Tribolium castaneum: one gene and its partner. The protein of the gene in region 1 interacts with the protein of each later gene in a pairwise test. Links are inferred from orthologs where the notes say so. Each region holds a gene or a part of one and is shown in the gene's direction. Other genes may lie near its edges.

Region 1 (5,466 bases):
TACTTGTTATTTTTTTTGTGAAAAAACTGTCAAAAGAGAAATTTGCGGCAAGAACGGATTGTTCTAGAGCCTCAGTTTACAAAACTGCAAAAATTTTGACTTTTTAGTCCTCGTATTTTTCAAAGAAAGAAATGATGTGCTAATATTACAATTTTTATGATTTATTGGAATCCAAGTATTTATTACCAACCTTCACCTGCGAGACTAATCCGTCGTAAATGTGGGGATTAACAAATGGCGACACTTTTTGAAAACTATTTTATTGGAACATGTGCACAATAAAGTCAACCAGCTATGTATTTAAAGCGAAATGTAGTGAATTGATATCCACCTAACAAAATTAATAGCAGAGAACGCAGCAACAAATTTGCTTTCCTGGATTTATTATACACAACAAAGAAACCTGGTAACATGCTATAAAATAAATATCATAACACCACAATTCTGCATTACTATGTTATTAGAAAATACTTTTTAGGAACAGCGTAACTTAAAGCTATAGCTAATTCACTATAAATACTGTTTGCAAATCATTTAAGTAAGCTCCCGGAAGCTACAAACAATCACAAACAGGTCATAAAACCGTTTAAGCATGACCCCACCCTTTCGTAAGTCTTTTCCACAAACTAGGTTTGTCTATATTGGCAGGTGGAGGTTGATCGTTCTTAATTTGTTCTAAGAATCCCGCTGTTTGCGTCGGAGAGTTCGGTTCGACGGCCGCATCCCCTATTTCCCTCAAGTCTCGCATCATTTTCTTCCGAATAGTCTTTTTCATACTTAGGTGTCGTTCTAAAGTCTTGTATTTGTGTTTGGTGCGATTATCTACATTGTTTTCGACGACTGGAACTCGCGGATTCTCCTTGTCCACCTCCTTGTTGCAGTTCCATATATCACGCACGTCCCTTATTTTTCTATCGTTGACTGAAGACATTTTTCATAGTCGTTTCTGCAAAACGCAAAAAATTAACTCAAAGAAAGCTGATGCAAATTTTCTCCAAAACTTATTTATTTTAGAAAGTTATTTACTTGTATAGTTTTAGATTGCTTTATTCATGTCATTTTAACAAAAAATTAGCATGATATTCAAGAAAATGATAGATAAAAGGTGAAATTCTACTCACTTTCGATCGGAGGATATTTTGCGATTTTATTGTTTTTTTACGAATGGTCAATCCTTTTTTGGTCTATTTTTAAAACTTACCTCACATTTTTGTTATAAATACAAGAGATCAATGGAAGGTAACATGACTTAAGTTACTGTTCCGTTCTTTATGTCTTTGCTAGTTCAAGGTAAACGACTTGAGCACGATTTTTTTCACTTAAACTCACTGCATTTAACATTTTTACACCAAATAAATTGAACTCGAATCACATCTTACGGTACTTACCTTTGTTCGGACGTTTTTACATGTTGCTTCTTGGAGGAACGTGTTTCGTTTGTGTTTAATGCACTCTACTGAACTTTTACTTTCAAATGTAGGCGATCAAGTTTATTTCTTTGTTTTCAAAGTTGATCTTTTTACTTTCCTTGCATACAGAAGCGGTAGATTTGAAACTGCGATACGAAATGAGGCAATCCGTCATTTTCACGCAAATAATCGATTGTTTTAAGGAGAGTATTAAGAAATTGCAGATAACAACGCCCATATACCCAATCACCGGAATCGTAAATAATCGACCAGAGATTTATCAAACCATAAAACGTCCACAAAAATTACAAAAATATAATTGCCTGATGTCCCAAACCGGCGAATTTCGCAATTGCGATTTCACAAAGCCGATAAAACAGTGTCAATGAGAAAGATAAGATTAGGGCGAAATATTTGAATGCGCGCCTCATGTCGTAACCACTTGAAACCCGCCAATCAGGAGCCTCCAACTGTACAAGGGATTGGTACACGTTCGCATTTAATCAATTGGTCGGTGTTTGCGCGAGACAAGGACAAATTCTCTACGTTTATCGCCGCCAATGTACACCGCGTTTGCCTCAGCCAATCACATCATTCCATCTGTCGTATTAGTCACGTATCACGGACGTACTTTCCCGTCCTTTCACCCGAAATCGCGTGAGTGCGAGAGCGATAGACATATTGCGATAAGCGATTTACTTCGGTTTGTATACGTCTGTCTCACTATTTTTCTGGCATTTGCGGTAGATTCGTGGCGAGAATTTGACGTTGTCGATTGTAATATTTTTGGTAAAATTATTATAAAATGAAGTCCTCTTTCTTAGTGTTTATGTTTTGTGCGTATTTTTATGCATCGAATGCTGAAGTATATCTTGAAGAAAAATTCCAAGATGGTAAGTTTTTTGGGGGCTAGGTTTTCCACGCCGGTTCAGGAGGAAGTTCAAGAAACTCGCATTTGCGAAGACAATGCTAATTTTCCACAATTGCAGATTCCTGGGAAAAGAATTGGATATACAGTAAACACCCGGGGAAAGAGTTTGGAAAATTCAAGTGGACAGCCGGGAAATTTTTCAACAATGAGGAAGAAGACAAAGGTAATGATGGGTTTGCTCTTGTTACCGTTTTCCTAACTGTAGTTTTGATGAAAACGTACGTTTTCACGTATTTTTCATACACAAATGTTTCGAAAACATGAAATTGTCACCTACCAAAACTCAGTTTTGATAGAGTTGTTTAAATATAATCAAGTCTGGAAAGTGGTTTCCTTTTTGCATAATAGATGACTGATTATTATTGATCTCAAATGTACAAAATTACAATAATTTATTTCAAATTACTTATTTGTTCATTAGGAGTAAGCTAATGTGTCTTTAAAAGGGTGATCATTAATCAATTTTGCTTTCAATGCGTCCCCTAGTCTCGATTTTAAAATTTCTTTTGAGTGGTAGAACTTGTGGTTATCTGTTGGATAACAGGAGATAAGAAATGTATTTGCTTTATGTCATAATTCGCGATAATTTGGATGATAAATTCGAATAATTTTTTGGCCAACAAGACAACTGATAATGTGACATATGGACACTTATAATTTTTCCATAATTTTTGTTAGATACATTTGAGAAAATTGTTAAAATTCTATTCATTGATACGACATACTTAATTACAGGGTTTAACTTAGTTCGCAATTCATTAAGCAAGTTTTATTTTTAGATTAACTGAAATAGTAATATTTAAGAGAATTTTGACAGAATTTAACTTAGTTCACACACAGTGACTCTCAAAATTAAAGTTAAATAAACTAATTTGAATTTATTTTTGGCTTTGACGTCGTTGTGTTTTCACTTTTTCAACAATGTACGATGCCAATTCATCTTGCTTTGGCCTAAAAAGTTTAGTTCGTGTTTCGAAAACTTGGATATTTGCAAAGTTTTGATAATATTAAATTGAGATATTGTTTTTTCTTTAATAGGAAACCAAATATTGGTCCACTTTTGTTAATCAATGTATTATTAGAATCTTTAGAACTGTTGTATTATATGGTGAAGAATTTATTTCGCTAAATATTACATAACAGTATTATAGTTATTAATAATACGAGTACGAAAACACAAGCTTAAAGTTCGAGGGTTGTCGTTATGCAACGAGCGTATGCGAGTTGCATACCTAGACACCCGAGAACTTTAAGCGTTTTCGTATAAGTGTTATTCAAATTTGTTTTGTTGGAGTGTTTTAAAATAGTGTTTATAATCTAGGATTCAGATATTAAAAAGAAGGCTTAAAATTTTACCAACAAAAAAATTGTATTATCCGCTGTTCAGTTTTAAAAAGTCCATGTGAATCCATTGCAAAAAACCTCAGTGTATATTGTAACAAAGAATACCTAGAAAAATATTTTGTTACATTTGCATTATGATATTTTAAAACGACAAAAATTAAAATAGGACTTGTAACGAGGAAGTAATAAAAAGCCCGTAAGATTTGAATTTGAATTTGAATTCCCGTTTTGAAATAATGCGCGGGAAAGTTCAAATGTGGTGGTCCCACTTATGTCATAAATAGCCACTAAAAAGGACTGTGTTCTATGTAAAATAAAATCGCGACACCAATAAAAAATTGACTACGTGTTGCATGAGTTGAAACTAAAACGCTTTCTTGTGGTCAAATCTAAAATCGTACCGTTGGGAAATAGCGGGAAATTTAAATGTTCTGAAAACAAATTTGTTGTTTTAACAAGAAATAATAAACAATAATAAGAGGAATCTCCAACTTCTTCACTGAATCGATTTTTTATTTTTTGTTCTTAAGACATTTGGTCTTAGGTTTGCCCATTTTTAGATAAAATAGTTTCATTTTTATGAAAGAAGGTACTTTTTCTTTCAATTTATTAATCATCTGGTGAAATGCGATTCAAAAAGAAATTGTTTACCTCCACCCTTAAAGTAAGAAAATTAATAAATGAAAGAATAGAGCAGAATCGAATCTCCGTCTGTTGACCGTTTTTTTTTTTTAATTTTTGTTCGCAAGATTCGCAAAGGTTTAAATTTAACCCTTTTTGAAATAAAATGTCGTAGCTTTAAGTCTTTGTTAATAAACTGTCTATTGATAAGAAAAATCAGACAAGTTAGAATAATCACCAATTATTTAATGAAAAGGATTTTTTTACAAAATAAAAGGGTTATTTGTTGTGTAAGTGTTTTAGAAAGCATTTTATCCACGCAAGGGCGTCACCTCTTTATTACTTTATTCCAATAGTTACTTTATTCTACTAGTGGATGATAGGTCACTTTATTGCTTCGTAAGTGTGGATAAAGCTCCAATTATAATGTGATTGGGGATAAATTATTTTCTACGTCAGCCTTTGGATAATTTCTGGACCTCTCATTTTGAAAAATTGTTTTTTCTTTTTCGGATTTTGAAAATGAAATTTTGTGTTAAATTGAAGTGGCGGAATATACACGTGTTGTCAGAAATTAATTAATAAAATTCAGAATTTTCAAGTCATTTTTTATTGTTTCTTTTTTGCAAAATTCAGGATTTTGTCAAAAAAGGGGGATAGTAGATGATAGATACCAAGGGGGTAGATAATCTTGATTGATTTATTTGTTTTTTATTTTCAGAATATTTTGACATTCTATGGTTTTTACGCTAATCGCGCATAAGATTTTCATATTTTTTTCTGAAAACAGATTTTATTTAAAGGGTGTACGACTAGCAAAATAGTTGACACCTTAAAAATTTTGAACATTATCAAAGTATCCAATGGATAATCAATTCCCTACTTTTTAGACTCTTAATTTATTTTTTTACTCGACTAGAAGTATTTATATTTTTGCCTCGGCCATAAAACTTGGAACACTTTGTACAATACAAGCTACAATGCAGAAAAGCATACTATAATCACTCTGGGGTTTTAATGAATAATTATTACAAAACAATTATATAATTGAATTACTTGTTTACATAAAAATACACGATTTACATTTATAATAAAGTAACCAATTATTTTTATACTGTGTGGATTTGCATGACCTTTTTTTGCAAAATGTGTCCTTTTTGG
Region 2 (5,218 bases), on another chromosome or scaffold:
GACTAATTAGAGCAATCCTTAACTGTAATAAGTATTGCTGATAAAAAAAGGTCCCAAGGGGTGTTTGTCCGAACATTTTCTTACAATCGAAGGGCTTAATCTCCTGCAAAAATAAAGAAAACTGTAAGATATAAAGTGGGTGAAAAAAAATAAAGTTTGCAAAATAGAGAAACTATATAAAAATTTAAAAAAATCATTAAGGTGCCAAGAGGTGTTTGTCCGAACATGATTTTTTTACAGTCGAAGGCTTTATCGAAGGGCTCAGTCTCCTGCAAAAATACAGAAAATTGCAGGATATAAAATGGGTGAAAAAAAATAAAGGTTGCAAAATCGAGAAACTTTATAAAAATTAAAAAAATTCGTTAAGGTCCCAAGGGGTGTTTGTCCAAACATGATTTTTTTACAGTCGAAGGCCCTATCAGAGGGCTTAATCTTCTGCAAAAATAAAAAAAATGCAGGATATAAAGTGGGTAAAAAAAATAAAGTTTACGAAATCGGGAAATCTTAAAGAATCTTTAAAAATTCATTAAGGTCCCAAGGGGTGTTTGTCCGAACATGATTTTTTTACAGTCGAAGGCACTATCGAAGGGCTTAATCTCCTGCAAAAATACGGAAAATTGCAGGATATAAAGTGGATAAAAAAATAAAGTTTGCAAAATAGCGAAACTATTTAAAAATTAAAAAAATTCGTTAAGGTCCCAAGGGGTGTTTGTCCGAAGATGATTTTTTTGCAGTCGAAGGCCCTATCGAAGGGCTTAGTCTCCTGCAAAAATAAAGAAAAGTGCAGGATATAAAGTGGGTGAAAAAAAATAAAGTTTGCAGAATAGAGAAACTATAGAAAAAAATAAAAAATTCGTTAAGGTCCCAAGAGGTGTTTGTCCGAACATGATTTTTTTACAGTCGAAGGCCCTATCAGAGGGCTTAATCTTCTGCAAAAATAAAAAAGCAGGACATAAAGTGGGTATAAAAAAGTTTGCGAAATCGGGAAATCTTAAAGAATCTTTAAAAATTTATTAAGGTCCTAAGGGGTGTTTGTCCGAACATGATTTTTTTACAGTCGAAGGCCCAATCGAAGGGCTTAATCTCCTGCAAAAATAAAGAAAATTGCGGGATATAAAGGGGGTGAAAAAAAATCAGTTTGCATTGCTTGAATATGAGAATAAAAAATGCAGAAATTACATGTACAATGGTCAGGAGATGATCTAAAAATGTGATATACAAGTCAGCATAACAGCTTATGGATGTTTTTATACCGATTTACCATTATTTTGATAATTTTTGCTCGCAGCGATTGTCTGGTCGACTGTAATGTTCATGGTGCCAGCACCATTTTTGGTGCTGTCTTCAGCGAAATTTTTTAAAAAATGTTTTTTAACATAAATCATACCTTGGGTGAGGCGTAAAGGGGCACAATGTCGTTATTGGGGCGCCAGTAGCTGGACGATTGTGGTGGTTTTGTCCACCATTCTATTCTATTCTATTCAAGTAATTTGGTGTTGAAATTCTAGTGACTTTCGGTGAAAATCCCTAGTCGGAATAACCTATTCATCATCGTTCCTAATCTTAGTGCTATTTTTGTTTATAAGTCGTCCTTTCTCGTATGTCATGCGAGTGCGAGTTTCATAGTGTTTTAGAAGTAAAATAAATTAATTTGTACAGTTGTAAATTTCCGTATTTGTATAATTTAGCTACATTACCACTCCCCTAGCTAGTTTTTTATTTAATTTATTTTATGAAAAAATGTCGACTCCGGCCCGACGACGCCTCATGAGAGATTTCAAACGGTTCGTAACCAACTATTTCCTCTAATTTCCCCCATTTGCTTGTGTTTTGCGCCCACATTTGCTCAATTTCGATGCGATTCTCCTGCAGGTTGCAGGAGGACCCCCCCACGGGAGTCAGCGGCGCCCCCACAGACAATAACATTATGATATGGAACGCCGTCATCTTTGGCCCCCACGATACGCCCTTCGAGGATGGCACCTTTAAATTAACTATCGAATTCACAGAAGAATATCCCAATAAACCGCCCACGGTCCGATTTGTGAGTCATATGTTTCATCCCAACGTTTACGCCGATGGGGGCATCTGTTTAGACATTTTACAGAACAGGTGGAGCCCCACGTACGATGTCTCGGCGATTTTAACTTCAATTCAAGTAAGTAGGTCATTGACAGCTAACCTTCATTGGGCGATTTTTTGCTTTGAACCTGTCTGACTCCGGCTCATTTCTTGGACCAAAATACAGTCCTCACGCTCAACAACACAATTAGACGTTTTTGCAAAAAAATGCGACCATTTTCATTAGTTGCACCAAACACAAAGGAATTGCCCTTATTTTTTATTTTGATTAAACAAATCGCCTGTTTTTAACTTTCCTCGTAAAAATTCAAGGTTGATTGTAAATTTTAATCAGCTGTAATGGCCGTAGTGCAATTACATAATGTATGAATATTAAAAATAAATCGAGCTAAAAATAACTATTCATTGAAGTAGTCAAATATCTGAGGTTTTGGGTAAAAACAAACGGACAAGAATTTTTTATTTATTTATCTAGAAGGTTGTTATGACTGTCAAGTTTGATAGACGTGTTTTGTTGCCCTACTAGATCAGGGACACCAAAATATATTCCTACTATTTTTTCCACGTCAGTGTGCATCAAGTAGGTTGCGGAAGTCTAAAGCACCTTTAATTTAATAGCCAATTCACAAAAAACTGTTAGTCATTTTAAACATATTTAATGACAAAAGTCTATGCTCATCACCACAATAGAAATTACTAATAATCACACAATTTTTGGTCTAACTTGGTGAAATTTCGATTTATAAAAAAATAAGAAAAACTACTTGAAAGTTTTCAATCTATTTCTCGTAATAAACTGAGAATATGACTTCGAACTAGTATCATAACTTGCTTGAAAAGTACATTTTCGACCAAACATTGTAGTTTTTTCGGCTTATTTTTGAAAAAATTTTGCTCAAAAAGTACTCAAAGCAAGTGAAAAATCAAAATATTTTACTAAGTTTCAGTAAAAAATCAAATAAAAATGTTTTGAACTGAAGATGTAATTTAATCAGCGATGTTATCATAATGAGAGAAACTTGATACGTCTTCATTTTTGCATAGTATTTTTAACAAAGCTAAAGCAAGTGAAACAAACAAATTAAGTAAATAAGACGGTTATTAATTCAACAAAAAGGCTCTTATGAATAATAATTTTGTGTTAATCAAAGAACATTATTTTTATTTGAAATCACTTCAAAACACACTTCAGAATATTTAAACTATTGCAGTGTTTTAACAATGCATTTAATTTATTAATTGTTATACTATACCTAAAATAATGAAATTAAAAATAAAACAAAATGGATAAGAAATGTGGATACTTTGATGCGGACTTTTTTCTTGGAAATTTAATTCCCCATTTCATTATATTTTTCTTAGTTTTGTCACGGAAATTTTTAGTCCAGAGCTTTTCTCAGCTTATTAACGTTCCTTTCGTCATTTTAATTCCACCTACTAAATTTTTGGGTTCAGAAAAATGAGTTCTCGTAAACTCAAACACATTGGTAGATGTCAGTTTGTTTTTATCACAAGCGCGCGTTATTTTTCCAATAACGTGAAACAATTAGTTAAAAATAGCGCTGATAAGATGTAAAAAAGTGTTGTAATTGCCGAAAAAAACACAGGAAATGAGCATTTTGCAAGACGATTTCGTGTATTATCGCCCAGATTATTTAAGTATTTTTTGTAATTTGGAAATTTTTGCTAGTCGTTACTGAGCGACCCCAACCCGAACTCTCCAGCGAACTCGATGGCCGCACAACTCTATAAAGAAAACAGAAGAGAATACGAGAAGCGAGTAAAAGCGTGTGTGGAGCAGAGCTTTATCGACTAGCGCCTTGGCAAGAAGTGTGTATACCTGAGCTACTTTCTGTGCTTCTAAATTACAGCCACGCGTATCGTTCTAAGTTGCTTCAATCTCAAAATATTCAAAAACTGATTTGTCGTCTGCAACTCACTAGATATTTTATCAAGTTGGACAATTTTTCCCGGTTCTAAATTAATTTCAGTCACGATTTATCAGTATGTATTCAATAACAGTGTAAGTAAATTTTTTAAAAAGAAAATATTATGTATTTTTTAAGTACTTTCAATTTGTTACACATTTATTTAATAAGTTGTGTTAATCTCTTTATGTTTTCCCCTATTCGTACGATTTCACCTCATCAAGGGTATTTAAATGTGTTATGCATATACTTAAATAAATTATTATAAGAAAAAACAAGTCTTTCATTTCGTTCTTTTTTATCAACATTAGTTCAACAACATTACAAAAAATTAAAAACAAATAAATTACACAAGTTATCACTCGCAAAATACAAGAAGACTCGAATATTAATGTACAAAAATAGTAATTAAGTTCAATTACGCTTCAGATAACGAGCCACCAACAGCACATTTCCGGTAAAATCCGGACAAATTGCGCTATTTATAACCCATTCAATTAAAAATATGGCAAATCAGCGATACTAGCTATCATCCATTAACAATTTTAATTGCTGTTTGTACCGCTCGGCTTCTTGCTCTTTTTTCAGCAGTTTTATTTTGTATTCTTCTATCGTTTTTCGCGCCTCGATCAACTGCGTCATCACTGTCTCCATGTCCGTGACGCCGTTAGGACCCGAGATTTTATACATCTGCAAAATAATTTAATCAAAGTGGCCCCTGATTTTAATCAGATCAAAAATTAAGTAGACGCCTCCTTGATGGACTCAACAGAGCGCCATCTCGTGATTTTTAAATAACTACAGTCAAAAAATATGAAATAGCAAGCTGTGTGACATTGACTCCTATCAAGGAGACTGTGGTAAAGCAAAAATTTGCCTTTAAAACGCCACAAAAACTCTTACATTATTTACAGTCGAGACTGGGATCAGTTTATTCTTCTTCATGACAATCCGTTTCACATTCTTTGGAACGAGCCGTCCGTTGATTTGTTTAATTATGTTTTTGGACTTGTTCTTACAATTTGACGCCATTGACAAAAATTCTTGTGGTGTGACGGTTATGATCTTTTTATTTATGGCATTCGCCTTCTGTTCTGACTCTTTGATTGCGTTTAAAACCTGTTTTCCGGCATCCGTTAACACAACCGAATGTCCAGTCTCCATAACCGTCGTTAAAATGTTGCTGTCGTCATTAGGGAGCATCGTAA

Evidence for each region. The genes of interacting proteins can lie anywhere in the genome.
Region 2: the proteins of Calr (region 1) and Ubc6 interact in a two-hybrid assay, tested with the Caenorhabditis elegans proteins (2 studies listed by BioGRID). The link is inferred for Tribolium castaneum from reciprocal best matches to the Caenorhabditis elegans genes crt-1 and ubc-1.

The regions. Positions count from the first base shown.
Region 1 is NC_087395.1:13,846,957-13,852,422, forward strand, and holds the start of Calr (calreticulin), read left to right. Parts: upstream 1-2,061; 5' UTR 2,062-2,214; coding exon 2,215-2,302; intron 2,303-2,398; coding exon 2,399-2,503; intron 2,504-5,466. UniProt on the Caenorhabditis elegans protein: Molecular calcium-binding chaperone promoting folding, oligomeric assembly and quality control in the endoplasmic reticulum (ER) via the calreticulin/calnexin cycle.
Region 2 is NC_087400.1:6,408,401-6,413,618, reverse strand, and holds Ubc6 (ubiquitin-conjugating enzyme E2-17 kDa), read left to right. Parts: upstream 1-1,563; 5' UTR 1,564-1,740; coding exon 1,741-1,784; intron 1,785-1,872; coding exon 1,873-2,158; intron 2,159-3,772; coding exon 3,773-3,898; 3' UTR 3,899-4,288; downstream 4,289-5,218. Other genes in the region: Atac3 (GA-binding protein subunit beta-1), read right to left, coding at 4,533-4,700, 4,914-5,218. UniProt on the Caenorhabditis elegans protein: Catalyzes the covalent attachment of ubiquitin to other proteins.